Lepisosteus oculatus: one gene and its partners. The protein of the gene in region 2 purifies or fractionates together with the protein of the main gene of each other region. This does not show direct contact. Links are inferred from orthologs where the notes say so. Each region holds a gene or a part of one and is shown on either strand. Other genes may lie near its edges. The genes, in order: atf3, cebpb and atf2.

What was found.
Region 1: the proteins of cebpb (region 2) and atf3 purify together in Homo sapiens (affinity purification with western blotting; 3 studies listed by BioGRID and IntAct, with this or other methods). This does not show direct contact. The link is inferred for Lepisosteus oculatus from reciprocal best matches to the Homo sapiens genes CEBPB and ATF3.
Region 3: the proteins of cebpb (region 2) and atf2 purify together in Homo sapiens (affinity purification with western blotting; 3 studies listed by BioGRID and IntAct, with this or other methods). This does not show direct contact. The link is inferred for Lepisosteus oculatus from reciprocal best matches to the Homo sapiens genes CEBPB and ATF2.

What each region holds. Positions count from the first base shown.
Region 1 is NC_090697.1:18,859,478-18,870,725, reverse strand, and holds the start of atf3 (cyclic AMP-dependent transcription factor ATF-3), read left to right. Parts: upstream 1-6,421; 5' UTR 6,422-6,588; intron 6,589-11,248.
Region 2 is NC_090711.1:12,164,749-12,175,129, forward strand, and holds cebpb (CCAAT/enhancer-binding protein beta), read right to left. Parts: upstream 3,466-10,381; 5' UTR 3,244-3,465; coding exon 2,356-3,243; 3' UTR 1,811-2,355; downstream 1-1,810. Other genes in the region: peds1 (plasmanylethanolamine desaturase 1), read left to right, coding at 6,775-6,916. UniProt on the Homo sapiens protein: Important transcription factor regulating the expression of genes involved in immune and inflammatory responses. Also plays a significant role in adipogenesis, as well as in the gluconeogenic pathway, liver regeneration, and hematopoiesis.
Region 3 is NC_090707.1:17,190,575-17,201,586, forward strand, and holds the start of atf2 (cyclic AMP-dependent transcription factor ATF-2), read right to left. Parts: upstream 5,082-11,012; 5' UTR 4,980-5,081; intron 4,973-4,979; exon of another isoform or gene 4,912-4,972; intron 4,906-4,911; exon of another isoform or gene 4,697-4,905; intron 3,889-4,696; exon of another isoform or gene 3,827-3,888; 5' UTR 3,805-3,826; coding exon 3,757-3,804; intron 3,531-3,756; coding exon 3,434-3,530; intron 2,260-3,433; coding exon 2,141-2,259; intron 1,687-2,140; coding exon 1,558-1,686; intron 1-1,557. Other genes in the region: atp5mc3a (ATP synthase membrane subunit c locus 3a), read right to left, coding at 8,043-8,157, 8,604-8,794, 9,235-9,312, 10,225-10,263. UniProt on the Homo sapiens protein: Transcriptional activator which regulates the transcription of various genes, including those involved in anti-apoptosis, cell growth, and DNA damage response.

The DNA of each region.
Region 1 (11,248 bases), on a different chromosome or scaffold from region 2:
ACAGACATTTTGACGTTGATTTTATCGGGTCATTTCTGGTCTATGCTCTGAACTGCTTCATATCGATAGATCTCTCATTCTGCTTGAATTGTCCCACGTGGAGCAAACAGAAACACTGTTGTGTTTCTTTAACAGTATATGACATTTAAAGATGATCATATGCAATACAGTTTACAAGGAGATTGTTTTAATTTATTTAGCTGCATATCTTTTGTAAGCTACATTACTCTTTATATAGTTATATAACAATGATGGTAAAGATCATGGATATCACGTGCCGAGCTGTTGACCTTTCTTTGTGAGTAATGGTTAATAGTTTGCCACCCTTCCTGGTTACAATGCCAGTCCTCTGTGGTTTCTTCATGAGTCACACTAATAAGCTAAAATGCATCTCACTTTAATGTGAAAGCTGTTCAAAACAACTTTCATATTAATGATTCATATAAAATATACTGGTAGGGTTAAAATGTGATGTATATGGATTAGTAGTTAGGGCTCTGCCCCTAAAATGCGTTGGTTGTGGGTTCAAATCCTGGGTGGAGTGTCCTAAAGCAAAATACTGCAGTTGAATTTTGCTTATTAAAACTTCTAGCTATATAAAAATGGGAACAATCCCAAATAGCTTTGTAAGAACATTAAATAGATCAATATTTATAATTAATTAATAAAGCAACAGGATCAAGGCAAGATTTACCCTGGACACTCCATTGCAGGGCAGACACACAAACAGAACCACTGACACTCACACCAGGGCCACGTTTCCCAGAAGCCAAGTGATCTACCAGTATGTCTTTGTGTCTTTGGACTATGGGAGGAAACCAGAGCACCTGGCAAAAACCCATGTAAATACAATCATAAAATCTCCATGCAGATAGCACCCAGGCCTGAAATTGAACCCAGAGCCCCAACACTGCAAGGCAGCAAACCTAATGACTATTACGCCATTTTAAGTAACACCTTTTTAAGTAACATGCAGCCTGATACTTTTACTGGTAGTCCGGATGATTTAAGGTAATATATAAACCATGCTATTACTGTATGTACTTGCTGTGTCTTTGCCTGAGGCCATAGAGAAGTTGCTTACCTTTTTGGGGTAGGGAAATGTGAACTATTAAACCTTCATTAAAGACAAAACAGAAAGTCTCCTTACTGAGAGAGAAATTCTCCCTTTTTATATATCAAAACAGTATGATATATAAAAACAGTATCAAAAACAGATACTTGCTAAGTAATACATTAAGTATTCAGTACTGTGAAGAACTACTGGCATACTCTATAAATATCTACCTTTTCTATGCAGTAATAATAGCCTAAAAAATGACCTGAACAAAAGATGGTTATCTGAGTAGTTTAGTGAGTTATGCTAAATTTATTAAGGACTGTAAAATAAGAATACGCTGTGGCTTGTCTTTCCAAAATACAGTACATGGGAGCAGGCACACCCCTGGGAGGCTGAGAAACAGTGCTGTGTTACTGCTCACTGTAGCACTGGCACAACCAGTGATGTAGAAGCCTGGACCGCTGATGAGGCACTTACATGCAGTCAGGCTTCTCATTTATTATTAAAGTGAAGCGGGAAGCCTTCAGTCAGACCATGGAATAGGGAGGTGATGTCACTTTACCTTTGGTTTCCTATTGGACTACGACTCATCATGCATCAATGGTATCATCATAGCCCGTATTCCATATCCATTTTATATCACCAATTGGAAACAGCATGTTAACAAAAAAAAAACACATGACTCGCTTCATTACTGTAATGTAATTCTGCAATAAGTAGAGTATAGCTCAGAACTATGAATATTCAGTACTTTTATTGGTAAGAGACTGACAAACCTGGGCCAATAAGCTACAGTATGAAGTACTAGGCAATTATGGCAGACCAGATAGCCTCCTCCCTATCGTTACTCTTTATATTAACAGTAAAGCATAATGTGTTAATTGCTGTCAGTGCTGGGAAATTACATTTTAAAACATTTAGGAAATGGTAGAGCAATATCTTTCTTTTCTGTGTCTCATAAAACAAAATTTGCTGGCTTATTTCTTCTCCATCTTCTATTATGATGACCAAATATTTCACAGGACTAAATGATATCACGGTAGCCTCTATATAATAATTTAGTTTTAATAGTTGTGCTGATTTAATGTTTAATTTAATTTTCATTTAAAAGAGTTGAATCATCTTCAATTAAAGCTCAGTTTTGATACGGTTAATCATTAAGAGGCTTCCACAGAATATTACTCATCTGTGAAGAGTGGGCTTTAACACAATTAACATTGCAACTAAAGTTGCAATTTATTTATAGCTAATAAAATATAAATTTGTTATTATAACTAATTTAAAGTTAGTTCCTGAACATTAGTGTTATACAGTCCATTCATTAGCTTCTTTCTGTCCTAGGTGCGTTGTTGTTTTCATTCATTTGGCTAAAGTGATTCCCAGAGGTTACAATTAACCAAGTTTTACAAGCATACTGTGGTGACAATTTACAGCTGAGTTTTCTGTAGCAATTTTGGTAAGGCACCTTACTGTTAGTGCCAGCAGGTACAGTATATCACCCTGCAGCTCTCAACTGGCTACCCACTGAAGCTAAGCAGGGTTGAGCCTGGCCAGTATCTGAATAAGAGACCTCCTGGGAAGCAATGGTTGCCACTGGAAGTGGTGTCAGTGGGGCCAGCAGGGGGTGTCTGTGTGGGTCCTAATGCCCCGGTATAGTGGCGGGAACACTATGCTGTAGTGGGTGCTGTCTTTTGGATGAGACATTAAACAAAGGAGGCCCTGACTCTCATTGGTCATTAAAGATCCCTGGGCATTTCTGGATAAGAGTAGGGAGTTATCCTGGTGTCCAGGACAAATTTTCCCCCTTGGCCTTTACTGTGGCCTTCAAATTGTCCCCATGTATGGCTTGCACCTGCCCTGTGATGGGCTGGCGCCCTGACAAGGGTGTACCCTGACTTGCGCTCGCTGCTTTCTGCAACACTGTAAGGTATAAACCGGTTTGGCAAATGACGTGACATGACCTTACTATCATAAATCAATAGTTATCCCAACCAAGAATTTAAAGGAGGTAATTCTGCCCATACAGCCGTGCCATCAGGGGCCCAGAGTCCTTACCATTAATCCACACTTCTAACCCCGGTCATGGTCTTGGCCTTCACTTCCTCTTTCATCATAATAATGGCTTGGGTACACCTTTCAAGGGAAAACAGCATTGAGATGACTATGACACACACCCTGCACAGATGTTTTCTGTTTCACTATAAATACTTACAGGAAACGAGGTTCTCAGTTTGAAAGTGTAAGTAAGAAAGTGGTGTTGTTTCTGTTTAAGTCCATAAGAAAACTGTGGGTGGCTGCTGGGGTCAAACTTAGAAAAAACACCGGTGCATAGAAAGTCAAGTGGTTCTGTCTGTCTAGAAGATGCTGGAAGCAATGGTAAAAGAGCTGCTGAGTCATTTAGCCTTGCTTACTCAACTTATGAAATGTTGAGAGCAACGTCACTTTCACTTCTGATTAAGGACAAAGGTCAGCTCATGAACCTTGGTCCAGACTCAGGACTGACACAATGGCATTTAATCTAATAGCCAAGCAGACTTTCAAAATCTGACAGGTGAAAATATTCTTCACTGTTTGAGCTGTTGCCATATTGCAGGTCCCTCTATAAAACTAAAACAATGGTGCTTTGAAAAACAACCCAATTATAAGCTACACAACTGCCAAGAAACATTTACAAATATTGCATTTACCAAATCACATATTTTGCACAATCTTTCTTACATATTACTTCCAGAAATTCATTATATTTCAAATAACAACAGGTGAATTTGGCCTGTACTTGTTTAATATAACTTATAGTAAGTGGTTATGGTTTCAAAATATAACTAAAAACTTAACTGAAACACTGGTAAGAATAAGGTTTAGTCGACCCTATGCAGCTTTCTCATGAGGATATGAAAATACAAAACTTTTTTCTTTACAAAAGATATGTGTTTTATTGTGGCCAAAAATAAGCCTGGAACAGGAATATTAGTTTCACATGATGCATAAAGAAAAAAAACATTTGACTACTGTTTCACATAATTTGATGAGGCATAAGGGGATGTTAAACTAGTCTGAACCCAAAACAGACAAATAAGACAAAAACAATACCAGACATATATTCCTTGAAAAGAAGAAAAGGATTGGAGCTTTTTGAGTGTTTGGAAAGCTGGGATGTGCATTCCCCAGCAGTCTGAACATCTGAAATGAAAGATGATTTGGCAAGAAGGCAGTGGGAGAGTGTTGCTATGGCCATAGCCTGGTAAACAAATATACACCAACTTACTCGCTTTCAAAGCTGAGAACAGAAGACACAGAACCGATTTAACTTCGTTTTAAAATAGCCATGACTTCTACTCTTCTGCAATGCTTGAATGTAATAAGGAAACTACAACCATTATTTAAAGGAAGCAGAGTCATTCTACATGTAATGATACAATCTGGTCACCAAGGTTAAAATTATGCTGAGTCACAGAAGTTATTTTTGTATTAAAAATGAGTTTGCCTGTTTCTTTTAATAGAGTATGCCCCCAGCTGTGTGGAATTTTTGGGACACTTCTATCACAGTTCACATAAAGGAAGGTGTCTTGCTCCTTTGTCTACGAAAGTAGAGTGAACTGAATCTCGAGGAAGTGACGTCACAGCACTAGTATCATTTGACAAATTATTTCCACAACCATCATACCTGCTGTAAGACAACAGGAGGGTGACGACATGACAAGTGCTGAAGTTTCAAGAAATGTCTGATTTTGCTTTGTCATAATTAGAAAACCATTTTCTCTTTTAATCTTTTAAAGAAGAAAGAACTGTTATTTCAGTTGTAAGAGAAACCTAAACTACAAGTTGAAATTCAAAACAATTATTGTTATTTATTTATCTATTGTATAACAGAGTTCTGTAAATATGCTTTAAAAACAAGCCGATTTCAGGATCATAGGAAAAACTGTGATGGTAAAGATTTTGTGCCACAGCTATGATGACCATAGCCCATGTTAAAGACCATGACTAAAACCATAATATATTTACAGGCAGTCCTGGTATCAATTAATATAGATACAGAAATAACACAATATCTTCTATTGAGTCCTTTTCAAAAGTTGCATTTTAAAGTTATAAGGAACATGTTATTTTTTTAGTATCAGTGGAAATAGTTATACATTTTGTAAAATACCAGCTCAACAGATCGTGTGTGATTTTGATATAATTCAATATACACTCACCTGGCATTACATTTTTCTCAATAATACAGTTCTAGAATTATACTATTGCTTAATATTAATATATATTTTTTGTTGCTTACCTAAGCTAATATACAGAAAAAATTGCTTTTAAAAAAACATAGTTTTTACATGTTAATTTAACAATTAATGCTTTAAGCAAAATGAGTATAAGAATTTGCTGTGAAAGTCTTTTTTAAACTGTACTATATGTCTCTATTCAAGGGAATCCACACATTCCTGTTAAATCCTAGTTCATGATCGAACTGAAAATGTTTTACAAAATTTAGCCCTGATTCCCATTCAACACCCAGTTTCTACTAAGTCACACTAAGCATGTGTCAATTGACAATTTACGTGGTATGGGGAACGGTTTTGTAGTTCCTCATTTTCACGGCAGTAATTGAGAGCTTTGGTCTGGAGTACAACCCCAATTTACGAGATCGAAAACCAATATTTTACAGTTCCTGAAGGCTCTAGACTCTTACTTTGATTTACAGTTTAGCTTTATTTTAAAGTTTACATATTGCCAAAATACTGTTAAGAAATTAGAACCCACTATTAAAAGAACTGGGAGACTGGTATAAAAAAAGAAACTGATTTCTGATTTAACGACCCAGCTTGTTTTCCATCACAGGAATTTATGTGATGGAAAAAAAAAGCCCCGTCCCTTTGTAAATACTAGGGACCGGTGTACACTCATAATGTAAACGAGAAATCCTGTTTACGCTTTTAAGGAGTAAGGGCCACACACCCATTTAAAAAATGACGATGGTCTGATTCACACTCATCATGTAAGAGATTCACAATTAAATTAAATTTAACTCGGGTTCTGCGTATGTTAAAACTACCCTCAGTACAACAGCCTCAACAATTTTATATGGGCAAATGTTTGCAAAAACAACAGAATGCATATACAGTTCTTGAGCTGCGCAGACAAAGCTAGCTCTGCTGGTCTTGATCGCAGGAAAATCTGAAAATGCAGTTATGCGTTACATTTCGAAAAAGTTTCTGTCTAGTCAATAAACAAATCATATTTTTTTTTCCAACAAAGGCTACTCATCGCTGGAAATAAAAAGTATTACACCTTTCGGGTAAAGTAATTACAGCAGCCAATACTGTTTCATGTTAAAATGTATATCCTGGCTTTAAATGTCGCTCCCTGTTGTCACTGTCCAAAAGCTCAGTGAATATATTCAAAACAAGTAAAACGAGTGTTTAACATTTACAGCTCAGCTGGCTCCCTTTCTGTCTTCCTCCAAGATGACGTCACTCTGCGAGAATAGGCGCTCGGTGAGCCCAGGCCGCTAATGTTTATATCAGTTTCGCCGGGTGAGTAATCTTCGGTTTTACGGGAACACGATGTGTCACCCAGACAGAAAGCGCAAATGATCATCATTGATTTTGACTTTTCTGCAGTACCCGTTCCCTATGTAATCTATTGGTAGAGGAGGGGTTTCGCTGTAGTTGTCATTTTCTCATTTCTCAGCTGATTGAAGCACTGCTCAAAAACAGAAGAAAAAAAAATGACTCCTTCACTTCCCGGAAAAGGGGACCATCTCCCTCTTCAGTTGCTGGTACATCAGGAGATGGTTTTCTCTCTTAAAGTTGTAATACAGATTTACCGTAAATTGCATCGACAAAACAAATTATCCAATGTGACTGGGTGTATGTACATTACGATCAATAAAGGGGACTGAAAAAAGAGGCATATCTCCAAAAGGACAGTAACATTGTGGGAGACATTTCCATAATTAAACGACTTTTTTATAAACGAAGTGACGTTTTAAGTAAATTAAAAAAATTCTCATTAGGACAAAAGGGAATACAAACATGTGTCTTATGTTTGTTTCTCAAATTATCTGTTTAAATGCAGAACGTTACTTTAGATTTTTAATGTAAATTGCTCAATATAGAATTTACTTTGGAAATATATATATATTGCAACGTTTAAAGTTTCTTATTTTTGAAATGGAGTACAAATGGAACAAAAAAAAGTACAAATGGAACATTTCAGTAGCGAAATGAATAAATAATTTGTAGCATCATATTCCTTCTTAAAAGTAATATGAAATATGAAAATTAATATGGAATAACTACCCAGTTAGCAACGTGACAAACTTGATATGCTCATTTTGGCGTCATTGGGCTAATGTTATAGAAATCATGTAATGACCACATGTAAATTTTAACCAAGTCATTTATCCATGGCTAGTGGCTTACTCCCTTACCATGTTCCTTTGTATCTTTCCAATTAGATAACGAAATAATACTGGGCGCAGTAATTTCAGTGTTACCTATCTTGCCTTTGACACATGTTTTGTTTTATCCAGTTCCAGTTCAGTTTACTGTCATATGCAGAAGTGCAATGAAATGCGTATTTGCATGTATGCTCCGATACAAAGACATTAAAGGAATCACCAAAAAAGTACTGTAGACACAGAACAGCAGCAGCAACAACAAGTTAAATAACATACATCTTGAAAAAAAAACATCAGTGTGAGCCAGTGGTAGGGGTAGAGTTCAGTAATCTGAGTTTGTGGGAAGAAACTGTCTCTGAATCTGGACGTTTGTGTCTGGTTGACAGGTATAACATGATACCTGATAACATTCTGATAACATTTTCACATTCTCACTGCACTCCAGTGTGCATATGTAAAATTTCACTTGCTTACAAATGAGTCAAAGGTCAAATTGCTTTTAGGCAACCAGTTAAATTAAAACTCATCTGAAGTGAATACTGAAGGGTTTGTGGAAGGAGGTTACCAAGCCTTTTCTTGGACAGATGACATCATACATTTCTCCCACGCGACTGTAAAGCGCATTTGGTAAACATACATATAAAAATAGCGCCATATAAATGATGTGTAATAACATCAATAGAATTTCCATTAGGTTTCACAACATCAGGTACAGTATATTAATTTGTAACTATAGCTTTAGTTTGACATTGATGTTGGAATCAGTCCATACATTCAGCTCAGGAATCTCGGTTTAGCTTTAAAATCAGCTTTGCATTTGGAACTCCTGTTTGCAATGTTGAAACGTGTGAATGTATGAAAGGTAACTTTGTAATTTTTGTAATTTACTCATGTCTTTCTCACTCTGATGCAAACAAGCCAATACGTGTACAGGTAGGTATTTCTTGATTTCGGGCTTGATGACTGTAACACAGTGCTTGCTGGTTATTTATGTATTAAGTTGCCTCAGAGCTCAAGTGCTAACGTAACCAAAACTAAAATATAGAAGTTAAAAAATTCTCCTATTTTACCTTGTCTGCTCTTGCATTTCAGAATGAAATGCATTTCAGAAGAAAACTTAAAATATCAGTGCCCTCCTTTAAAGGCCTGAATAGACTCCTGTTTACATCAGTGAACTGTTATCTCCCAGTACACCTACACATCATTTGCATTGTTTGGACTCTGGCCTTCTTTCAGTTCCCAGAATCAGGCTTCAAACTTTGGTTTGCTTTGCTTTCTCTTCTGCTGCTTCAAGGCTATGGAATGATCTCACAGCCCATATTAGGTCATTTTGGTTGTTTTATACTAAAGAGCTCTGATAAGATGTGTCATGAAAGGTGCATTACAAAACAAATCTGATTAATTTCCAAAATGGAAAGAGATGTACAGTAACAAGTGTAACACGTTTTGTACTGTCTTCCACACTTTTTATAAAGAACAAAGTCAGCTTTGCTCTCAAACTTGCAATTTCAACTGATGAACCCCTCAAACAATTACAGCCCAGGGGAATAAAATAGCACTTTATAAAGGAAAGTTTACAGACAATGACAGTAATGCAGAAAAGATCAAAACAATATGACAAATATTATTTAAACCACATAATAGCTGATGAGTTGAAATTATTTAGATTTGTAATGTATGGGAGATCAAAAGTCTTTTTTTTTCTTTTGAGAGATAAAGAAACACCTTCAATTTTATTAGAAATCTCAGTCCACTACAAAATACCTTTTCAATGCATTTGTGGGGTATTTCTGGTGCATTTGAATATAAGAATGGTGGCAAATAAGAGGAGGATATTCAACCCACCCCAAACCCAGGGTATCGACTTCAACAACACAGCTGGGTAGTTTATTCCATATCCTCTCAACCCCTTGGTTAAGGAGTGCCCTCTTTTCTCAAACCTAAATGCCACTTGTGTCTTGTGTCTTATGGTTCATGTGTTATTGATGAATCTGAGGAAGTCCTCCATGTTGTATTCGTCAGTGCCTTTGAGGGTTTTGAATATCTGGATCTGGTACCCTCAAAGTTTCCTCACCCAGTCTAGTGTGTCATTAAACAAACAAGGCATGAGAGGTTAAATCAATTCTAATATGTTACATTTTGCAATTGATCTATCCTATTTAATCAATCAATGGATTATGTCAAACCTTTAAAACGCTACATGATAGACTGCTGGATGGGACACTTAATGCAAAGCAGGGACCCAGAAAGATTCCATCAAGCTGTGAATTAAAATGTTTCTGTGGGCAGCTTTGGGTTGAAATTCTGTCAGAGGTTATCTTGCATTTCTGAGGTATGAACTAACTGATGTTTAAAGCTTGCACAACATTGGGTAATAATTACCATGAGTTACTTCAAGGGACACTGTGGAATTAAGAAAGAAAATTGAAACACAGTCATAGCTGCTGTAAATCTGAAACTTATTCTGTTTCTTTTAAATGACAACTCGCAGATAGAGCAAAGGGACTGTATGTGAGGAATGAAAGTCAAAGAACTGTCTTTGATGAGGTTAATGTAGTTAACTTTAAAAAAAGACACACTGCTACCACTGGAGGCTGATACTCCACAATCCCTTCCTAGTTCCTTAAAATGCATAAAAACTGACATGACAGAAACTCAACAGAAACATGCGTTTTACTATGCAACTCTCACTATTGCTTTAACTGTGAATTGCAAATATTAAAATTCTCTCTCAGGCAGCTGGGTCTTTTTTAATATCCTAATAAACAACAAAAAGTATATATAAAAATACAAGTATTGTATAATCTTAAACTTGTTTGAGAAAAATTATATCTTAGAATAATTTCTGAAAATCATAGATACATGTGAAAACAGTAAGAACTATAATATATTTTGCTGTACTTTAGTTGCATCTAGGTTTCAAGGATATTATTATTAAACAGACTGCAGGTTAAGTTCCTGTCTATCTGATATAGATACAAACTAACAATTAAATGTTTTTTAAACATTCTAACTGACAAATGCCAGATTTCTCTGGTACATGGTATACTGACTGTTTTAAGTTGTCTGGAGAGTAGCATTACATTTTTGCCTAACTAAATTGGCTGTATAATGTATATATTCCTTATTGTTCACTTGCCGCACTTCACTTACTGGATTTAAGTAATACCTTCTACTACTACTCATATTAATAAGAAATAAACAAAGAAAGAAAAAATTAGTGTAAACGCAATAATCTGTTCTGAACATAGGTAAACGTCTTATTTCGAATTACATCAGAAACTATCTTTGAAAACAATGTCAATAATATAATCATATAATTATTTTTAAAAAGTTTTACAGGTTCTTCTGAATTTCTTTCAACTTTAAAGCTCTTTTATCTTAGTTTATGTGACTTTTATGTATTACCGTATATTACTTCATTTAAATTTTTTTGTCATCAGTTGCCCTTGTACTTTCGCTATGATAAGATAACTTTATTGGCCATATACAATGTCTTGCATTAGGAATTTGTCTTTTCACATACCCCAGCTTGCTCTCCACAAAACACACACATAGGGGGAGAGAAGCTTGGGGTCAAAGCACAGGGTCAGTCATTTATATGGCAGCCCTGGAGCATCTGGGGTTAAGGGCCTTGCTCAGGGGCCCAGTGGAGTAGGATTCCCCTGCTGGCCATGGGATTTGAACCAGCAACCTTCCAGCCAAAGGTGCAGATCCTTAGCTTTACTGAGAGGTAACAATAAAGATAACTTATGTTCTATTGTAAAGAACATAACCATTTAAAAGCATTT
Region 2 (10,381 bases):
GAGAAAATCAAAAACAAGACAAATAAAAGTGAAAAAAAAACCCTTATCAGCTTTTGTCATCTCCACAGAGCAGTGTGTTTAAAAATACATGCAACTCGTTTTGACACTTTGCAGTGAGTGTAATCTGTGATGTCCATATACAGTGTATATATAGACCGTTTCCCACATCTTTTTGGAAATGTGTGTGACTGTTTGTGAATAGAGTGGCGCAGTGGAGAAGGAATCAGCCTTCCTGCCTTACAGCACTTGAGGCCCTGGGTTCAATTCCTGGGGTGCTATTGGTGGGGAGTTTGTATGTTCTCCCCATATTCAGGTGGGATTTCATCTGGGTGCTCTGGTTTCTTTCTCCAAAAATAGTCCAAAGACATACTAGTAGCTTCATTAGCTTCTAGAAAAATTGGCCCTTGTGTGAGTGTGTGCATGTCTGTGCCCTGTGATGGACTGGTGTCCTGTTCAGGGTGTACTCTGCCCTGTACCCATCACCTGAGGGACTCCTGCTCCCCATGACCCTTTACTGGATACAGCAGTTAGAAAAATAAATGGATGTATTTGTGTGAATGTAGTATTAGAACTTATAAACTAAAGGCAATGCATTTCTGTTATATGGGTACATACTCTACTGACAAGTGATTGATAAAATCACTGTTCTTTTTTCTGCCTTAATGAAATCAGACCCCTAAATGACAAAATACATTCCCTTCTTTTAAAATGACTGAAACCCCTACTGTTTAATGCCAGGAAAATACCAATTTAAAAAGCACTTTAAAAATGTATCACATCATCTGCAAAATATATGTATGTGAATGCTCAATTAGAAATGTACATTTTCTTTTAAGTATTAGGTGTGTTGGAAAGAACGAAGTGTATATCTGAAGCTGTGCGCACCTGTAAATAACAGCTTGAAATAAATAAATTCCAAATGTAGCCCACATCAGATATGAGATCAATGGCACAATGATAGATGGTGAAAACCCAGCAGAGATTTTTACAGAGCAAGTCTATCTTGAACAGTAGTTGTCTTGTGCAGATTTTTTCATACATGATTACAGATTTTTGACATGCAGGCTAAAACTTCCTAAATTGACACATCAGATCTCGGAAAAAGGGGCCGGAAGTGTTCAGGTGTTACAGTATTCCTGTGGTGCTCATTTGGGAATGTGCTATAAATTGCGATACTGAATTAGAACTTGTGCATGGGGAAAAAAATATTACCACCAACACATGAGTGTCTGAGAATTACAAAAACAGAATGAAACTAAACCATTTCCAAATATTTTATGTAACCTAGGTCACAGTAAAGGTAATTTTCATCTTACCCTATGAAATATAGTCAATTTTCTTACATAACTACATTAAACACTGAAAATATATTGATCTAATGCTTTAGGCTCGAGTGTATTGCTTTGATACAGTAATGGACATAGGCTCCTTTTGGATCTTGTTGTCCTGCAGCTTTAGACTGTATACTGTTTAGACTGCGAAATTGCAGACGATATCACCACTGTCAAGAATTCCCAGATCACACTATCGTCGCAAAACTTAACGCCTTTACTCAGTTTTCTTGTGCTGAGCTCGATGTAGCTCCTACGATAATCTCTTAACCAGCTCTGGGTTGTATTAAAGGATGAATGCGTTCGGCAGCTCAGTATCTTCAGAGCCACGAGTTACCACAGCTTCACAGGTGCCTTTTCAGTGAAGGAAAATAGCGGTGAACCCCATTCAGATATCATGTGAATGCACCGGCTTACAAGACCTCTTCTGAGCCATTCACGCAACTTGCGCTATAAGCAACAGAGACACGAAAACAAAGTTTGCACCAAAGTAAAAATATTTTTAATTCAATAAAATAGTATTTATACATTTCATTATAATTTGTATATACCTTTCCATCTTTAACAGATTACTTCATTGCATTGCCAATACTGTTACATCGGATTGCATCATTTGCGCAATCCAACTCCCTTGACAACCGTTGCTAAAAAAAAGAGCGTACACTTCGTGTTTTCATCAACATTTCTTAAATAACACAGAAGTATATTAAACGTTAAAACTCGTATAAAAATACAGTAAACAATTTTTGAAAAAAACAAACAGACATGGTATCACAAGTGGTAATTTATCAACAATCAGTCGCATATTCCATGTTCCCAAGCAAACAACACCCACACGCTTTCAGAAATACGGTTCCCTTGTAAATTGGTAAACAATTTGATCCTTTTTTAGGGAAAGAGAAACATCTGAGTTACAAATAATACTTCCCAGAGAAAAAGGGGGGCCAGTATTTTCCAGCTGGCAATATAAAAAGTACCCCCGCAGTTGAAGCGGCGGCCGCGCGTACCGAGTCCCGCAACGGCGCTAGCACTGTCCGGTCGCCGACAACAAGTTCCTCAGGGTGGCCAGCTCCCGGGACAGGTGCTCCACTCGCTTCTGCAAGCGCTCGTTCTCCGCCGCCAGCTCCAGTACTTTGTGCTGGGTCTCCATGTTGCGCTGCTTGGCTTTGTCCCTGCTCTTCCGCACCGCGATGTTGTTCCTCTCCCGCCGCTGCCGGTACTCCTCACTGTCCTTCTCCAGCCTCTTCTTGCCCTTGCTGCCCGAGGACATCTTCCCGTGGGACGGCGACCCCCCAGCACCTGGCGGGGCGGGGGTGCCCGGCGGGCTGGAGCAGGAGGAGGAGGCGGTGGAGAGGTTCCCGATGCTGCCGCTGGGAGCCGACTGGTACTGTAGATAAGACCTCATCTCGTAACTGGGAGAGCCCCTGTCCATTCTTAAATCTTCCTTTAGCTCCTGCTTGATATAGCCGCCCAGCAGCTGCGGGCTAAACACGGTGTCCACTCGCGTCTCCAGTAACTCGGGGAAGCCCAGCAAGTTCGACGGTCTCGGGCTGTCGCCCTGATTGGCACCCCGAGCGCTCAATGACAAGTAGTTTCTGTAGTTCTGCAAGGTGGCGGCACGCTTGTTCTTGCTGTCTTCGGCAAGAAAAGTGGAGAAGATGTCCCCGCCGTGGTGCTGATCCAGGGTTTCGACCGGGATCTGCTGCTGCTGCTGCTGGAAGGGCAAGGCGGGGTCCAGGTAGATGCTGAAGTCGATGGCTTTCTCGTGCTCGGCGATGCCCAGCTCCGTCATCGAACCGCCGATGGACTGCTTGCAGCCTGTGCTGCTGCTGTGGTGGTTGTTGTTGCTGCTGCTGCTGTCAACACCTCGGAACGCAAGGTAATCCCCGTCGTAAAAGCCCGCCACTGCCATCGATCTTAACACCCGCCGGTTTGCGGGACCATCGGGATCAGGGACGGAGCTCCCTGGCGGACTTGCTTTGCTGGCAGAGGGGGAAAAGCGGGCGAACTGGGGTGCACGGTCTGCCTACAAATAATAATACTAATAACGTCCGAGGCGATTGCTCAATCGGTGTGTCCTGGGAGGCAGTCTTTGGCAGCGCCCACACGCTCGGCTCGGCGTCCAGTTCGACAGCTTGCGCTTGCAACAGCGTATATATAGCGAACCTGGAAAGAGGGCGGCGTCAGACCTCAGGGCAGGGTGGCGGCGTGACGGGCTGTACCGGTTGAACAGCAAATCAGCTCGACGCTGTAGTCCGAGAGCTCGTTTCAAGATCAAACTAGTTTTTTTTTTCCCCAGTGCTTCTCTGAACTTTTTTGCCCTCGTAATGGACCTGCAAAAGAGCAACGCAGTGCTGTGAAATAAAAAAAGGCAACCGGCGCTTCTCTTAATGTTGTGTATTTGGAGAAAAAAACATTGACTTGTGAGCTGTACCCTTTTCTGTGCGGAGACTAGGGGGCTTTTAATACACCATGTTGTGACATAAGAAATCGTTGCGTTCAAATGATCAAACAACACTGCGTGTTTTACAGTAATGTCCTGTACCATTGATTATTCTTATTTAATTGCTCATTGACACAAAGATATTGTTGTTTAACGGCGAGCGATAACCATCCTAAGTGCCGAATTTCTCTCATGGATGTCTTTCACTGCTCAATCCTCCCTCCCAAACTACGGTCCCTGCCAAAAAGCGGGGGTCGGTCTTCTGTAGTGTCAAAGTCGGGGGATCCGCCGTCCTGTTGCGCAACACACGCTGGCGAAACATAAAATACTAATAAAAACATAAATACGCAATTGTAATGGCCAAACGTTCTTGTTGCATTTTTTTTTCTTTCAAAGCTGACAAACCAAAAGCCCAACCACAGCTTGGACATTGCTCCACAGCTCCTAGCTCTAGTTACAAGCACATTACTCGCGTCGATCGCCAATGCCAGGCGACAATGTTAGGGAGTGAAAGGTCGTTCTGTAAACTTGTTTTACAACAACGGGGGAGGCCTTTTGGTGCGCTCAAGGGAAAAAAAGGTCTCGTATCTGCATTTTTTTTTACAAAAAGAAACCTTTCAGACATTTTAAAAAATTCAAAATGACTACTGCCACAGTCCGTTTCATGTCTTCTATTGACTACTTGTTCCAAACTCAGCTCCCCAGTTTCTTATGAAAAAGACTGAATTCTCTTCCTGTGCATGTTTGAGCACCGACAGCGATCACTAAACCAGAATGATTTGTGCGTATTTGAAAAGGATGTGAAACTTGCTTGGCGTGTCATTGAGCCAGGGTGCAAGGGAGTTGCAGCCCTTTGCAACTGCAGAGGACACTCAAGTCAACTCAAGCACAGGGCAGACGCGTAAAGCAAAACTAAAAAAAAAATGAGGACTGGAAAGAAATGTATGATGGCCCGAAGCATTCGAGCGATACGCAGGACGGATAAAAAAAGATGATATCGCCCCCTTGTGGCCTGACACGGAATTGTTATAAAAATTAAAAAAACACAAAGATGATGATGACGATGATTATTATATAGCTGTCCCATAGTACATGAGATTCACAAATGGATTCCAAAACAAATATAAATCCACGATTGAAGGAAATCGTTATATTATTATACGTTTCATTAGAATACCTCTTTTATCGTATTTTTATTTTGCTTTTTTATTCAGTTAGTTCGTTCGGGGACTGGTGGTAATCGTGACTTCAAACTGGTCAGAGTTTGCAGGGAGATGGGATTTACAACACGACTGGATGTGGTGACTTTGGAGTTCAGCTAATGACTTGCTAGCGGTTTGACAGGTTCGAGGTAAAGTGCAGACTGGGAGACTTCTTGAAACCTGAACTAACTTGTCGGCACACCCAACACCGGCGCCTCTTACGTCAGAGGAGCTCGGCGCAGCGCTTAACCTTATCAGCACCTGTATGACCGACCGTACTCGTGTCGAATTCACCTTCATTGCTTAGTGAAATAAGGATCGTACGGTGGTTAGCACTACCGCCTCACAGCGCTGGGGCCTTGGGGTTAAATTCCCGAAGTGTTATCAGCGCGGAGTTTGTATGTGCGCCCCGTGTTTGCGTGAGTCTCTTCCGGATGCTTACTGGACTTACTGGTAGGTTAAGTGGCTTCTGTAAAAATTCGCCCTGGGGTGGGTGTGTGTGTGTGTTAGTATCTGTCTGCCTTGTGATGGACGGGCGTCCCGTCCAGAATGTACCCCGCCTTGCACCTGGTGCTTGCCGGGATAGGCTCCAGCTCACCCGCGACCCAGAATTGGAAGAAACGGTTAGAAAATAAATGGATGGACGGCGAAATAAGAAAATTAATACAAACAGTTCCGATTTGTGATTTTTAATTCAAACGGTTCTGTTATTTTTGCTTTTTCCTAGCTAACAAGAGAATTCTTCTGCGCACAGTATTGGCATTGGACTAGCACAGTACCAAAATAATAAAATAATAATTTTAGGTTACTCATTGTTGAGTTTCGTTCACTGACAGATGTTCTCACATTTTTAGGAGCGATGTCTCCTAAACTGTAATAAGTGATTCAAAAAATGAATGGCACACTGCGTTTATTTGGCGATTTTATCCGAAACGGATAACCAGAGGGATTATTAATTTAAAGGTACATGAATGAAAACGCATGTTAAAAATGAAACAGGAAACAGAAACATATGGATTGTCTAAAAAACACGTGGGTCACGACCCTTTCAGTTTCGGGACCACTGTAACACACCTCCGAGCAGCCGAATCTTCAAAATAAAGATTTGAAACACCTAAGGTATTAATGCCTTTGCTCGTGCAGCTGTGCTTAAAACTGACTTTCAGGTGTTATGCCTTTTTGTTAACACCCTTAAACTTAAGGAACGCTTAACGGAAACACGAAGGCAAAATTTAAATGTACTTTCCTTAATGTAACTGGCCGCTGAACCCTAAAAGCAGATGTCATTTAGAAATATTGCGGATAGTTTTTATATGACACTTTGATTATGAACACCAGACTGCAACGAGAACCCGTGGTTGTTTCGTAGTGTGCAAAATGCACTCTGGGCTTCCGTCTGTATGAGCAAAGTAGGATCTGATGTCATGCTGTTATATTTTAATTCGCACCACTTTTTTTTTCCATGCAACTGGAATGTGTCCAATGTCCACAGACGGCCGTACGCAGGCAGCGAGCCAGACACACGCCTCTCCCGGCCAGCCCACCCCCGAAGTGTGTCATGTTCCGTTTCTCTGATTGGCTGGGGCTGGGTGTGGCCAGGAAATACAACCTCTGCTGGGCCATTTCCATTGGTGGACCGAGGGCGCTCCGTCACCCGTCCGGACCTCGACGATTGGTCGAGCGGAATAGGGAGGTGAGAAATGATTGGCTGATGCCAGGGTACGGGGCGTGGCCAGGCCGTGATGCCGGGGCCCCAGTTGGCTCGCTCGCCGGGCGGGGGTTGGATTTGCTGGGGAACATGGCGAGAGCAGGGAGCGGAGACGGGTTACAGAGTAATGGGATCCAAGAAGACCCTGAGCCGCGGGGACCGGGCAGGGGAGAATGTCGGTGGGGCCCGCAGCATGCAGGTGCCCGGGAGCTGGCGGAGCTGTACTCTCCAGGTGAGATACCGGTGACAGCGGGCTAGCGGGCGTCACACCCACATGAGCAGCCTGCGATTGAATCCTGGTATTCACATTCACTTATACAAGAATGAATAGCTGCTACCCGACAGGCTCCGTGGAGTAGTATACTCACCCGGAGCTGAGCATGTAAGGAAATGACATATATGTTGTCGATTCTCTGCAGTTGTTTATGTATATCACGGCAGGAAAGTCAGTGAAAATAATGAGGTTTACCAGGTCCAGGTAATTGTTAAGATACAGTGTTAAATAAGAGAGGGTGTGTCGTAACCATGGGTGGGCAGCCGCGGTTCTGTATATAGTATCCGCACGTGATGCGGTTGTTGTTATGTGAGTGAACAATGGCTTTATGGACGGGGCACAAATTCAGAGCATTGTTATAACAGTGTTAATAATAATAATAATAACTGCTTACACGTATATAGCGCTTTTCTGGACACTCCACTCAAAGCGCTTTACAGGTAATGGGGATCCCCTCCAACGCCACCAATGTGCAGCATCCACCTGGATGATAGCGTTAGTGCTTTCGATAAGTAGAGTCGTTTAACGATTTTATTTTCCAGTTAGACACTAGGACTGCTGGAAATGAAATGTGAGGTATCATTATTCCAACAACTATTAAAAAATACAGGGTGTTGGATGATCTAAATATTTTCCTTAAGAAGTAACGCCACCAGCTGCCTTTTTAATGTTTAATTATATAGATGTCTATGTGAGTGCACAGTCCTTATGGGTCTTATTCAGAAGTTACTCGAGGACAGTCAGTCTGAATTGATGGCGATTTGTAATTGAGGGAGCTTCTAACTGCTTCATCCGATTCAGGGTCAAAACGGGGGGACTGGGGCCAATCTCAGCAACCATTGTGTGCAAAGCAGGATTCATCCTAGGAGGGGACGCCAGTCCATCACGATGCAGACACAGACACGTACACACCAGGGTCAATTTTCCCTGAAGCCAATTAACCTATCAGAGTGTCTTTGGACTGTGGGAGGAAACAGGAGATAATAGATCCAGAAGCCAATATTTCTGTCCTCATAAGTTTCAGTGAGTCACGTACCAAACACATTGTTTTTATGCTATTGAGGCAGTTTTTAACTGCAAGGTCGAAAATATTTTCTTGCCCTAAAGTCATTTGATATCTAGAGAGAAGTGTCTCCCATGATGCCCTCCTTCTGTCCCAGTGGAGATTCTTGTCACTATGTGAGACTGTGAGCACTGTGTTAACAAGCAAGTTCCTTAGCATTGTCAGATCAGTTCTTATTAACGTGGTTGGCAGAAACCTTTTCCTACTTAGTTACAGTGATATATGAAGTAAACAAATACATTTGATGTTTTTTGTTGACTTTAATAATAGTGGAAGATGGTAAAAAACTGTGACAGTTTTGTATACATGTATACAAAAAAATACAATTTTAAAATTATAATGGAAAAAAACAAAACTACTGCAGTGCAAAATAATTGCATATTAATACTAGATAATACCACTAAACACTACAATGAATGCAGACTTAATAATACAAATACATTTATTAAGTACTTTTTTAGCTTTTTATTTCCTGGAACAGATAGATCTAACTCTGGGACACTGTAATAAAGGGCCTGTTTTGGTTAAACAACAGATACAAATTATCTGGAAATTCCAGTTTGATAAGTGCTGATGGTAGTCTGGTTAGTTAGTGAGCTCTGTGAGTAATGTTAGGCTACATGTTTTTTTTTGTGTTATTTATGATAACCCAGAGATTTCTGCTATGTCTCAGTTGGCAAGCCCTTCTCAAAACAGAACAGCAGTTCAAGATAATATAGACCCCTGGGTTCGAGCCCACATTGGTGTAGTGAAGCAGGTCTTACTGAAAATGTCTTGATGCCTGTGGTACTGTCATTTACTGTAGACCAAGGAATGCACTATTGCAGTACGTTTTCCAGAGAGAATGAGTTTCTTTGTCCTTTTATGCAGATTCATTTTTTTTCCAGGTTGCCTACAATTATTTGAATTCTTTTGAGAAAGTTATTTTTTTTCTTCATTACCCGTGGAGCCACTGCCAAGTATATAGACGTGATAAGCAGATGTGCCCACATTAAATAATCTAAAGATTTGTGTTTTTTCCCCATAGGAACTCTTAAAATACATTATTCTTCGGTGGACTGCATCCAGGCAATTTGAAGTTAAATTACTGAGCATAAATTAACCCTGTACTAACCTTAGAGACTATTAGACTGGTGTGACAGGAATGGTCAAAACTTTAATGTAAACATAAATGTCTAGAATGTTTAAGGATTTTGGTTTTAAGCCTGGTGATGAAGATGATGATAAAAGTTAGACTTGCTTGTTTGACTAAAGGACCTGTAAAAGAGGGGATTGCTTTGAATTGGACAGCAATTACTTTAGAAAATGATTTAAAGAGTATCAGATTGTACATGTTAATAGAAGTATCACCAATAAACTGTTGCGGATTTGGGAGATCATCAGTGTTGATAAGTTTTAAGCCAGGTTATGACATCCCTATGGAAGATTGCCAACTTCTTAAGATTAATGATGGAATAATGTTTCCTAAAACATTCAGATTATGTACAGTGCCTTGCAAAAGTATTCACCCCCCTGTCCCTGGACTTTTTCACAATTTATTGTGTTACAGCATGGAACCATGATGTATTTAACTGAGAATTGTTTCCACTCATCGACACAAAGTCCTCTATAATGTCAAAGTGGGGGAAAAAATCCAGACATTTGACAAAATTAAAAGTAAAAAACAGAAAATGTATTGAAATCATAAATATTCACCCCATCATTATTATAATATACTATAGTATATACTGTACTATAGAATAATTTCCAGATGTGTCATAATACCTTCCATAAAACAATGGATTAAAGAACAAAAGCAAAACATTGACCATATTAGAAGTCCTTTTTGAAAATGATAATTTAAGAAAACTTTTCCCTATTGGTCATTGTAGTAAAAGTGCCTGGAAAACAGATTGAATATAAAGAGGAAGTCTGGGCTCTAAACTGGTGTAACAAGATCGAAAATGTGATTATCCATGTCTCTGACCTCATTTTACAAAACTTAAAAATATCAAAAACAGTGATAGATACGCTATATAGTCTCCAGTAGCTTGCAGTTTTTCTTTCACATTGTGCTTCACAGGTCAATGGTGTATTTGAACAAAATGGGATTAATTTCACACCACGACTCCTTCTGATGCCACAGCAGGTTCTGCCCCACCTCAGGGCATCGTATTACTAGAGCGAATGAAAAAAATCAACTCGGAGAATCGGCTCCTTCCTGCTGGTACTCTGGAGCCTAAGCGCAGAAGCCAGACTAGAGTGATATGTCTGAGAGCAGACTATAGGGAACACTTACTTATTATTTATTTCACCACGTGTTCTCCTGTATATGTAACATCCAATGTTTGTGCTTTACTACATAGGACCATAAGAACACC
Region 3 (11,012 bases), on a different chromosome or scaffold from region 2:
GGCACAAGGCAGGGTACACCCTGGATGGGACACAAACACAGACGCACATACACTCACAACACCGCCAAATTTCCCAGATGCGAACTGCCCTACCAGTATGTGTTTGGACTGGGAGAGGAAACCAGAGCATCCAGAGGAAAGCCACAAGAACATGGGAAGAACATACAAACACCCCTGGATTTAAACCTAGGGCCCTAGCGCTGCAAGGCTAACCACAGTGCTACCCGACATTGTATAAAACCTTAAATAACTAAAATAATAATCGAAAACTCTCAACAAGGAAATAATATTTGCAATGTTATTTGCAAGACTTTATATTAAACAGGATTTAAAAATCTGACAGAGTGAAGGACAGAAGAATGGAATGAATATAACATGAAGGTTCATATGCTAAACATTAACAGACATTTAACTTAAACATAACTTATAATACAGCTGTACAAACATTTTGCGTAAAATAAATATATTCGCTTCTCTTTTGGGGTTCAATCCTCTGGCTGAGAGTGGACCCCGGAATGCAACCCCTCCTTATTTACACGTACATTCAAAACAACTTTCCCTATAAAAATAACATTTTTTTCATTACACATCATGTTTCAAGAATGTATCTGCCCCACAAATCAAGAACTACCTATAATTTCTTAAATTTACACACCCCACATGCCTCCCCAGTTTGCTTCAATTTTATTTTTCAAATGTTACATAATTAAGACTATTTTACAGCTCTTTTTTCTGTTCACTTAGTCTTTAGTACCGGTACAACAAAATGTTAGTACGGCACTCTCACTTTATGAAGGCAAATGGCACAGATGCAGTTATTGGTAAGTACGTCTGTCAAACTGAAGCGAACAGAAACAGAGGGCAAATAGCAAAACCACTACCAGAATTACTGCAAACTTATAACGAGTCTCCAGAAAAGCAGTAACATTGCAGTTTATAGCTGTTTCCATCAGCAAAATCAGCCCTGTTGAAATTCTGTGCACATATTCTTATGGATGATGGGGCTGGAGGGGAATTTATGCCGGTTTTCCTTGGAGATACAGATTTATTTGTGATGTGATGTGGAATATATTTTAACATGCCGACAGTAAAATAAACCATAAACATCAATGCAAACATTGCTGGCAGCAGACTTGTTCCGTACAGAACACGATTGTGCTCCTTTCAATATGAGAAAGGTTATGGTTCACAAAAGAAAGAAAACTTTGCCAGAACAACGTACAAGGTACATCAAAACACTTAAATTTGTTTTATCTCTGGATATAAAAGGGTAGAGATTAAAAAAAAAAACACTAAAGCAAAGAGCCTCTAATACCTTCCTCTTTTTATGTGTGCCTAATTTCTACAGCAATACATCACTTACATCTGTGCCAGCACAACAAGGCAATTGTCAATTAATATTAATTACACTACTGAAAAAAGTTCAACACAGAAAAAATGCATTGATTGTTCCCAAAAAACAGAATAATCTGAGCCTTTCTTTGGTTCCATCTCAGCACATGTAATAGAAAGATTTGGAACTACTCCAATCTACAATGGATTTTCTGTAGAATTTACCTTGTCGTCACTTGTAGTAGATTCTGGGTGAGGCAAAGGACTGTCTTGGTGAGTGGTTTCCACAGCTGATGGCTCTTCAGTTTTATTTCTTACAATGGGAGTTGCGAGTGGAGACAAATCTAAGGGTAGCTGAAATATGGAGGCATCGTGAACCGACAAAAACAATCTTAAAAAGTAAACGAGAAACCAAAAAAAAAACTTTAGTGGCAACAGTCTCAACAATTCCTAGGTGGCAAATTTCTATTAATAACAGTATTGTTTAAGAACAGTATGGCAACTAATTTTGCACTAGTCCTTCAAAATAATGTAAAAAATAAATTACATTTTATGTTTGTTTGTGCACGTGGAAACTAAATGGACCTGCATTCTAAACAGAGAACAGGAGGCACCTCTTTACCCCAAGTGTTGTGGGAGTATGGAACAAGCCGACCAGACATGTTGTTGAAGCCGATACCCTGGCTTCTTTCAAGAAACGACTGGATTTGATCATTCAATCAATTAGCTACTAAATACCAAATGGACTAGAGGTGCCAAATGACTTCCTCTCGATTGTAACCATTCTTAGCATCTTAATAAACGTTACCTTTTTGATGTCTTCTTCTGTTGCTTTTTTGAAGTCATTTTCAAAGGGACTGGCCAATTCATTAAATAGTCCCACTTCTTCACAATTCTTCAAAAAACGGGTTGGTGTTGGAGTTTGGTCTGAAACAATATATAACAAAAGTGTCTTTCAGTTGATTCAACAACAGCTACCTATTAATGAGAAAGATTTACAATGTGAGCTCTTTTTATCAGTTGAGGAACAATAACAAAATGCAAATCTATATTATTTTAGGTGGGTAGCTGCGTCAGCATGCGTAGCCTGCAAAGGAACAAGTAATGGGTTTATTCCATGCTGAAAAAAAGAAGAAAGAGAACACAACGTTTCGGCTGTGGAGCCTTCTTCAGGTGTCAGGTAATATATTATTTTATGTTGAATAGCACAAATACACACACAAATCACAACTTAAAAGTTATGGCTTTGCTGCCTATGTTCTCCCATATTGAAAATATAAAATAGCAAAAGATGGTGATAACTTATAGGTAAGACCAAATGATGCACTATGAAATGCATTACAGCATAGCCAACTGTAGGTTTTCAATGGCACTTTTCCTACTATTTAGATATATTTAAAATTATATAATGGGCTTTTCTAGAATAAATTTACAACAACCATATATCTCCACAATGTCTGGAACTGTTATGAGTCAGGCTGGGGTTTTAAGATTTCCTTTCCACTGAAAGAAATGAACACGAACGATTTGATTACACGATTGCCAAGACAAATTCCATTGCAGTCTAACTGCAAGGCATGACAGACAAGATACTCCAAACAGCCACTTCTATGACTGACTGATCACACCGTATCAACAGCTGATGAGTATTTCCAACGTGGCCAGAAGACAGGCTGAGAGCACATTTTTCATAACTCTCAAAACAGAAACAGCCCCACTATATTTGTCAGTGAAAAAAAACTAACTTTCATCGGTCTCACTCTGCTGCAGTCAGTAAATACGTCAAAGTCACCCTTTATCTTCTGGTATCTAATAAAAGCTCAGCAATTTGCAGTTTTTCTCCTTCAGCTTTTAAATGTTGGTTTTAGGTATATGTGCAACACAAAAAGGAAGACAACGCATGATTACTCTATTAATTGTTCCTCTATTGATAGATCAATGAAGTTCAACATGTATCTCTTCCGTTACGTCAATACAAGCAAATTCTATTGATAACATTTTTCATACCTGAATTGACATTTTTGTCAATTTCCTACACTTTAGATTCTCTTTCCCTTGGTAAATACTCCCCACTTCCTGGGATCTGCAGTTTGATACTCACCAGCAACGATGACACTGTCATTACGCGCTGGACCAAACTTTAGTGTCATCTCATGTTTGTGTTTGTGGACAGCCAAATGGTCTTCATTAGTAAAACGCTACAAAAAATACAACATTACATTAAAAAAGGTATTTAGGATAATGAATCTCTAAATGATTCAGCCAACAATTTCATGAACTGAAATATTTAGGCGGGTTGTGTAATTTCTAATTCCTGGTTTTGCAATGTTACTGTCTTAAGGTTAAGTAAAACAGGCAACCAATAAAATATTATATCCAACTTTTATTTTTAAAAAGAGTTTCAGAACTGCCACCCATACATACCTGACCGCATCCAGGAGCAGTGCATACAAAGGGTTTGTCATCACTCATATTCAGTAGATACTTTTATCTCCTAGATGAGAAAGATACCACACTTTCAAGACCTACTGTCACGCGTAATCACATCATGGACCACTGCAAAAGGCGACAAACCATTTCTTAAATAACGTTTAGTCTCGATTTCAACACAAGCATGCAAGAAAAAAAAACCACAATGAAAATATGACTACGTATTGAAAACGTCTGTAAACTTTAAGCCCGGGAGATAACACAGAACACATTACAAATACTTCAGGTGACAAATCGTTGGCGATTCTAGGAAAGTGTTTTCTGCTTTCCTCCTGAAGTACTCACACACACAGCTCAGCATTCTGGAGTGACTGACACGCCAACAAGCCTTGTGCATCATAGAAAAGGTCTCTAGCTCATTGGACAAATAAGCATAAAACTCGTTTTAAAACTAACATAAACATGCATGGAAGCGTTATACAGCTGGCTTGGTTGGTCTCTCGTTTATTTTCAAATTTAACCGTGCCGAGCATCCTCTTCAGTTGCATTAAAAATTAACGCCGGTCGAACACAAGGTATTGATATCCTTTCTGTCAAGTAATCGACTCCCATTCAGTGTTAGTGTCGTGTGAGGTACTCTTAAATAACTTAATCGTAGTATTTCTCAGGGCTAACCTTCTCTAAGTAAAGTGACAGTGATGTTCTTCGGCGAACAGGGAACAAAAAGAACAACTCTGGATTGCTGTGTTGTAAAACAGCTTCTTTTTTTTTACAATACCTGCATGTAAAAGATGCTACCTGTGCCCTACCATAACAGCAGAAGTTCTAGATATTCTATACAGAGGACTTAGATGTGTAAACAATAATGCGGAGGCTGCATTACGAAGACTGCAAAAATGCACATATACACACTATGTTAATGAATTAAAATCACATTTAGGGTGCCTGGCGAACATTACTGTCAAGATGCGGTTTCTTGTTTACAGTCCATCATCATTATACCATCCCAGTCTCTTGTCTTGGGTTGGGTATACCCCCGTCGCCATATTATTATTATTACTACTGTCACTGCAGTATAAAAGCATTCATCGCCCGTTGACAAAATAAGTAGAGACTGCTACTCTAAACTGCTTTCCAGCAGCAGGCTACCTTAACCGGTGTGGCAGTCGTTGTTTACCACGGCTGTCACGGTTTATACGGCCTGTTTACACACTTACCCACGGGCTCAACCTTTCTCACGGCCAAATCCCACGGGCTGCCGCCAGATCTCGCGACCGCTGCTCCAGCGCGGACACTTCCGCAAGCGTCACGAACGTGACGTGGCGTGCGCAGAACGGGCTGAGTGGTCGTACACGCGTGCTTTAAGGGCATTTTGATTCGAGAGGGTGGGGCAGAGGGTTGACTAGCTTTGATTCTTCTTTGTGCCGGTTAAATAAGACAAACTTTAAATTTTCACCTCGTTCTTTACACGGAATTGGAAAAGAAAAACTGAAGTTACATATAGAAAGAACACTGCTTCGTCTCTTAATATGCATTTCCAGTGTTAACATTTTGGATATTCATCGTTGTGAATGTATTTAGTATTAAATATGAATGAGACAAAACTACTTTTTACATTTACATATTTTAAACATGTTGGTGTACACAATACGTGACATAAAGGCTTTTACTTTCAGGTGAGTCCTCAATGATTTAATATAGACACGCATACTTTGCTAACGAGATGAAAACATACTCCAGTTTTATTTTTTGCAGGAGAAAAAACATTTTACTCAAATGAGGCCAACATGTGCCACGTGTTTTCAGCTTCTAGTACTGATGTCAAAAACGTTCCATCCAAAATCCGAAGCTTCCAGCTTCTTTCAGGTACAGGTAGGAGACTAACCAGCCAGCAGCACACAAACCATCACCCATTGTTCTTCAGTGTGTGCTTGGCAACCTGTACTTTAAAAAAGGAACAGAACACTTTTTTTCAGGGGTTAACCGACTCAAAATCTGGAAGACATCAGTCAAGAGTGCCAGTTTCTTTAACTTGGACTGCACATGTCAGAGTTTCCTCCATGTCAGACACTCTTCCAATATTCACCAATGAAATCCATTTTAGTCTTAAATACCCTAGAGGAGGGAAGAGCCATAGGATCATCTAACTTTTCTTCCACCTCTGGTTTAAATTACTTTGTGTAAATCTGTCCAAGAACAGAAAATTTATAAGGACTTAACGTGTTGCTAACTGAAAAGCACCTTTTAATTCTACAGGAATTCCTCAAAAGATTGGATTTGCCCATACCTGCCTTATAACAAAGACAATGTTGCTATAAAAATACTCTGATATAATATACTGCAACGGTGTTCAAAGACGATGCTTTCCGATTTTAATCCTCACATTGCATGTTTTCCATAAAATAGCATGTATCTACCTGAAGGATGCTATGCAGATCATATGCTTCAAGAACATTGAATGAATACACAATACTGTCTATAATTCTAATGTAAAATTTAGTCTTCACTGTAGGCCATTAGTATTTCAGGTGGGTAGCTGCGTCAGCATGCGTAGGCTGCAAAGGAACAAGTAATAGGTTTATTCCATGCTGAAAAAAAGAAGAAAGAGAACAACGTTTCGGCCGTGGAGCCTTCTTCACACCTGAAGAAGGCTCCACGGCCGAAACGTTGTGTTCTCTTTCTTCTTTTTTTCAGCATGGAATAAACCTATTACTTGTTCAGTAATATTTCAGTCAAGCTTTTCCCCTCATTGCACACGTACGACACATAATAATGTAAGTTCTTAATGAAAAGTATTCCCATATCATCACATTAATGCTGAACAAATGTTCCTAAAAGCTTTGAGTAATTTCGAAAAGCAGTGTATAATTTAATCATATCCACTTTGTAATGGTATTGAGATTTTCGGCTGTGAATTTGTGACGGCTCAACACTATCCTGATTATACTGAGAAGCAGCATCCAACTTACATTCATACTCATTTATCCAGCTAGAATTTTACCGGAGCAATCTAAAGTGCTTTGCGCAAGGATACAGCAGCTTCCACTGGGTATTTAAACCAGTAACCTAATAGTTCAAGTTCAGAACCTTAATCCCTGCATTATGCTTTTTCAAATAATTAAAGCAGTGACCACACTTTGAGGTGCAACACAACTAGGCCTATTCTTGCTTCTAGTTACAGATGAGAAGAGACCATTTTTCACAATTCTTACCCATTTGATTTCTAACTGATCCAATGACTATTTAACCAGGTAAAGAAGCTGGGAGACCTAATCATCATGCTACTGCAGTTAAACCACTTTAATTCATATAGACTCATAGATGTGATCTGTACGGAAAGTGGGACATCTGCAGATCATGAACCTTGGACCAGTTTCTGCATGACCTTTTCCAATATTACCTGTTAAAAATGGGAAATGTCACTTCAAAAAAGGGAGAAATATGAATACAATCAAAGTGTGTAATATGAAAAAAAACTAAAAATGTGTTTAATAATAATTGCTTACACTTATATAGCGCTTATTCTGGACACCCCACTCAAAGCGCTTTACAGGTAATGGGGACTCCCCTCCACCACCACCAATGCGATGGCAGCCATAGTGCGCCAGAACGCTCACCACACATCAGCTATTAGTGGGGAGGAGAGCAGAGTAATGTAGCTAATTCATAGAGTTTAGAGAGTTTAAGGATTCAGAGATTCCCATTGTAAAACGCATCTGCTTTTTTGCACGTTTGTAAAGACAAAGTAGTTTAATTACCTCAAACAGAGCTGGAAACACGTCATCTGGCTCCAAATTTGTAATTCCAATAAAATGAAACCTGCCATTTTGATCCCAAATTTTGCACTGATATTTTTATTCATCTAAGTGACAAAGCACTTTTTCTTGCTTAATGCTATTGCAAAAAAAGTCTACATGATACAAAGGGTGCTTTTAAACTTTATCCTTCAATTGAGTGTATTAAGTGTTCAATAAGAAACATCTTTTGCTTTCAATGTACTGAAATGCACAAATATTTTGATAACGAGATTTTAAAACAAACCTTGATTCCCAGAACACAAAACGGAACTGTGATTTGAGACTTTAAAAAGCCAATACGTGTATTTTAATTCTGTCATTGGTTACATTCTTACAATGTTTTTATTTTTGTAGTTTGACAGTGTTCCAACAAAATCCTGAAAAATGTACACTTTCATGACACCAACACAGAACAGTTTTAGTAACCACTGTAAAACACGTAGTTACATCTAATGTAGAATTAACATCCGAAGCAGTTTTTTTTTACATGGCAAACAAGATCAAGAAAGCAACCATCAAACAGAACAGACCCATGGCTTCAGAGAGGGCAAATCCCAGAATAGCATAGGAGAACAACTGTTGCTTTAGGGAAGGATTCCTGCAGGGGCAAAGAAATGAAAGACTGCAATTAGTCTTCTGTAAAAACAAGTGCTACAGATTACAGTTGTTCAGTACCAATTTAACATGAATTTACAGTGAACCGACCTACCTAATTAACACTTTCTTACCTTTCTTATTCCCCAGTGGATAAAGAAGGACTTCGGAATGAGTTTAACACAAAAATCTTAAGTGTGAAATCACAAAAAAAATCATTGTTTTGCAATGGATGAAACTTTTTCCAAAAAAAAATTGTAGCTAGAAAAAGCAGTTCTGTGAACTCTCAGAAACACTCAATTCTGAACACACCTACTTGCGTCCCTGATGAAAATCTTAACAGATCTACAGATGAATCCAAACTGTATGACCATCTGAGGCTACACTGACGCTGCCTACCTCTTGTAAGAGCACCTCTGCCCTGTGCTCCAAAATGACGATGTTTCTCACCTGGCATAGCCGATGATAAGACTGCCAAACACTGTCCCGATTCCGGCACCAGATCCAGCCACTCCTACTGTGGCGGCACCAGCACCAATGAACTTGGCAGCTGTGTCAATGTCCCTGCTGACGGCACTGGTCTGGAACCCCCTGAGCGCCAAGACAGAGTTCTGTGGCCCGCTCACAGCTGCAGCCTTGCCCTGGAAAAGTTTTAATTCTTTGTAGAAAAAGTAGAAGGGAAAGAAAAACACTTCTATCTGGATGCAGCTTATTTTAATCATTTGGGAAAGTACTTTAGGAATGTAACAGGAGGCCACTGGGCCCATAATGTCTGTTTGGTAATTTCCTCATTGATCCAAGGATCTCCTCCAGCTGTTTTGTGAAGGAAGCCAGAGTACCGGCATCAGCCGGGTAACTTGTTCCACCCTCCCACAACTCTTTGGGTAAAGAGTCACCTCTGTTCTCACTTTTAAAGGTCACAGCACAGACGTTCAGAGGAATTTTCATGTTAAAGCACATCGGCCACTAAGGAATGTAGGTCTGCACACTAAACAAAATCCAATAAATGGAATTTGATCCCAATATTCTACCAATCTGAAATGACATTTTCAAGGACTGAAGCACTACTCTTTAGACTCACCTCTCCTGTTCTGACCTCTGGCCGGGACAGCACTGATGCAGAGAGAGGTCTGCACAGAGCCCGAGATCCAGCACGGACCTGCACCCAAAACAAACCCCACATCAACCAGGGAACACACCTCATCAGCCCACACCTTAAGGGAAACTGACTTCATTTACATCATCTTACTTCACTGTAGCTATTTAAGATAAAACAAAATGCACCTATAGAAAACATACAGTTAAGGGCAAGTATTAGCATGATCATAAAATAATGTGCCCATGCAAAGTCCACCACATACCCAAAACGTGGATTATGGGAGACGAACAACAATTTGTAAATAATTTCTGAGCTTCACTGAGAAGAAAGGAAGAGATACAGCGTCAATATATTGAGCTCTCTGAAATTATTAAACGTCTGTGGCGTTTAAATCTTGAACAATAATCAATTTCAATTCCAGGTAGATATTTAGTTTTTCAGTACCAAAGGTAATTCCAGTACTTTAATCATGCTTGTTGTGCTACGTTTCGGCCTCCTTTACTTGTGTCCTGAGTTAGAGGACATATCTCAGCTGCAGAGCAAGGCAGTAAGGCCCAAGCCCTGAGCACAGCCTAAGTCATTCAAAAAATAAATCGCTGTCATTTTCAAACTAAAAATTCCAAATGCACCATTATTTACTTGGTTTACCCCTTACCGAGGTTTGAATTATACTGTGCAATTAGAAAAATAGCACGACTTTGACTAAAAAGGCCGGATTTTTTCAGCTTTTATATCTAGATATGAGTTCACTTTAATATTGATAACTGCCCTTTTGTAACCATTGAACAGTAAGTCGTTTGTATTTATTTTTTTCCCCATTTCATTCTAAAAACTGAAGGGGCCTGTGTGAACAGAAAACGTTTAGAAAAAAAAATAGGAAAAACTCAAGTTCAAGACTAGGCCCGCAATGAAATAAGAATAAAAGACCAGAAAATGTGGTTTTTGAAAATCAGATGTGGTACAGAAACTCACCAGAGCAGGCGTGGAAACGAATTTAGCACAAGCGTACATTCTGTCTGGATTTATTGGTTGCTGAGTTCGGAATTGATCATAAACCCGGGTCTGTCTCTGTGAAGAACAAGGGAGAGTTAAGGTCAATGGAAATTCTGCTCCTAAAGTCTGCAACAGCAACACCGAAACGAAGATCACGCATGCACAGATAATGAAAACTCATGAAACCCAGAACCACTACTTAATTACAAAGATCCCCAGGACAGGATGAGATGGGATTGTAAATGTTCTATTCCTTCGCCTTTTTCTTGCTTCCCCTTCACTTACCGGCTACAGAGGTCGAACCGATTAGAAACCACTGCGCATGCGTCTGCTTCTTTCCCTGCAAACTCCCGGATGGCGGCTGTCAAGGTCACTTCGCTGCAACTTTATTGAAAAACAGAAGAACTGACAAGTTACTGTTGCACTTGATTGGAACCAGCCGAGGGTTACAGTACGTTGCGTTTGTGAAAATAAACGTCCGCAATGACTACAGAGGTAAACCCAAAATCAAAAGTAATTAATCGAAGACGTGCAATTTTCTTTGGGGATGGAAAACTGCACGGAACTAATTGATTCTGTATAAATCAACGTTTAAACATTTCTTTTTAAATTTAAGGTGTCTATATATATATAACATACTTGTACAGTCCTTAAATTAAAACAGTGACATTCAGAAATAGAAAGACTCCACTACTGTTGAAAGCTGAAATCTATATACTTGGCCTTTGGGCACATTCCCTGTCCTCTCAATGCAGTTTAATTTGCTC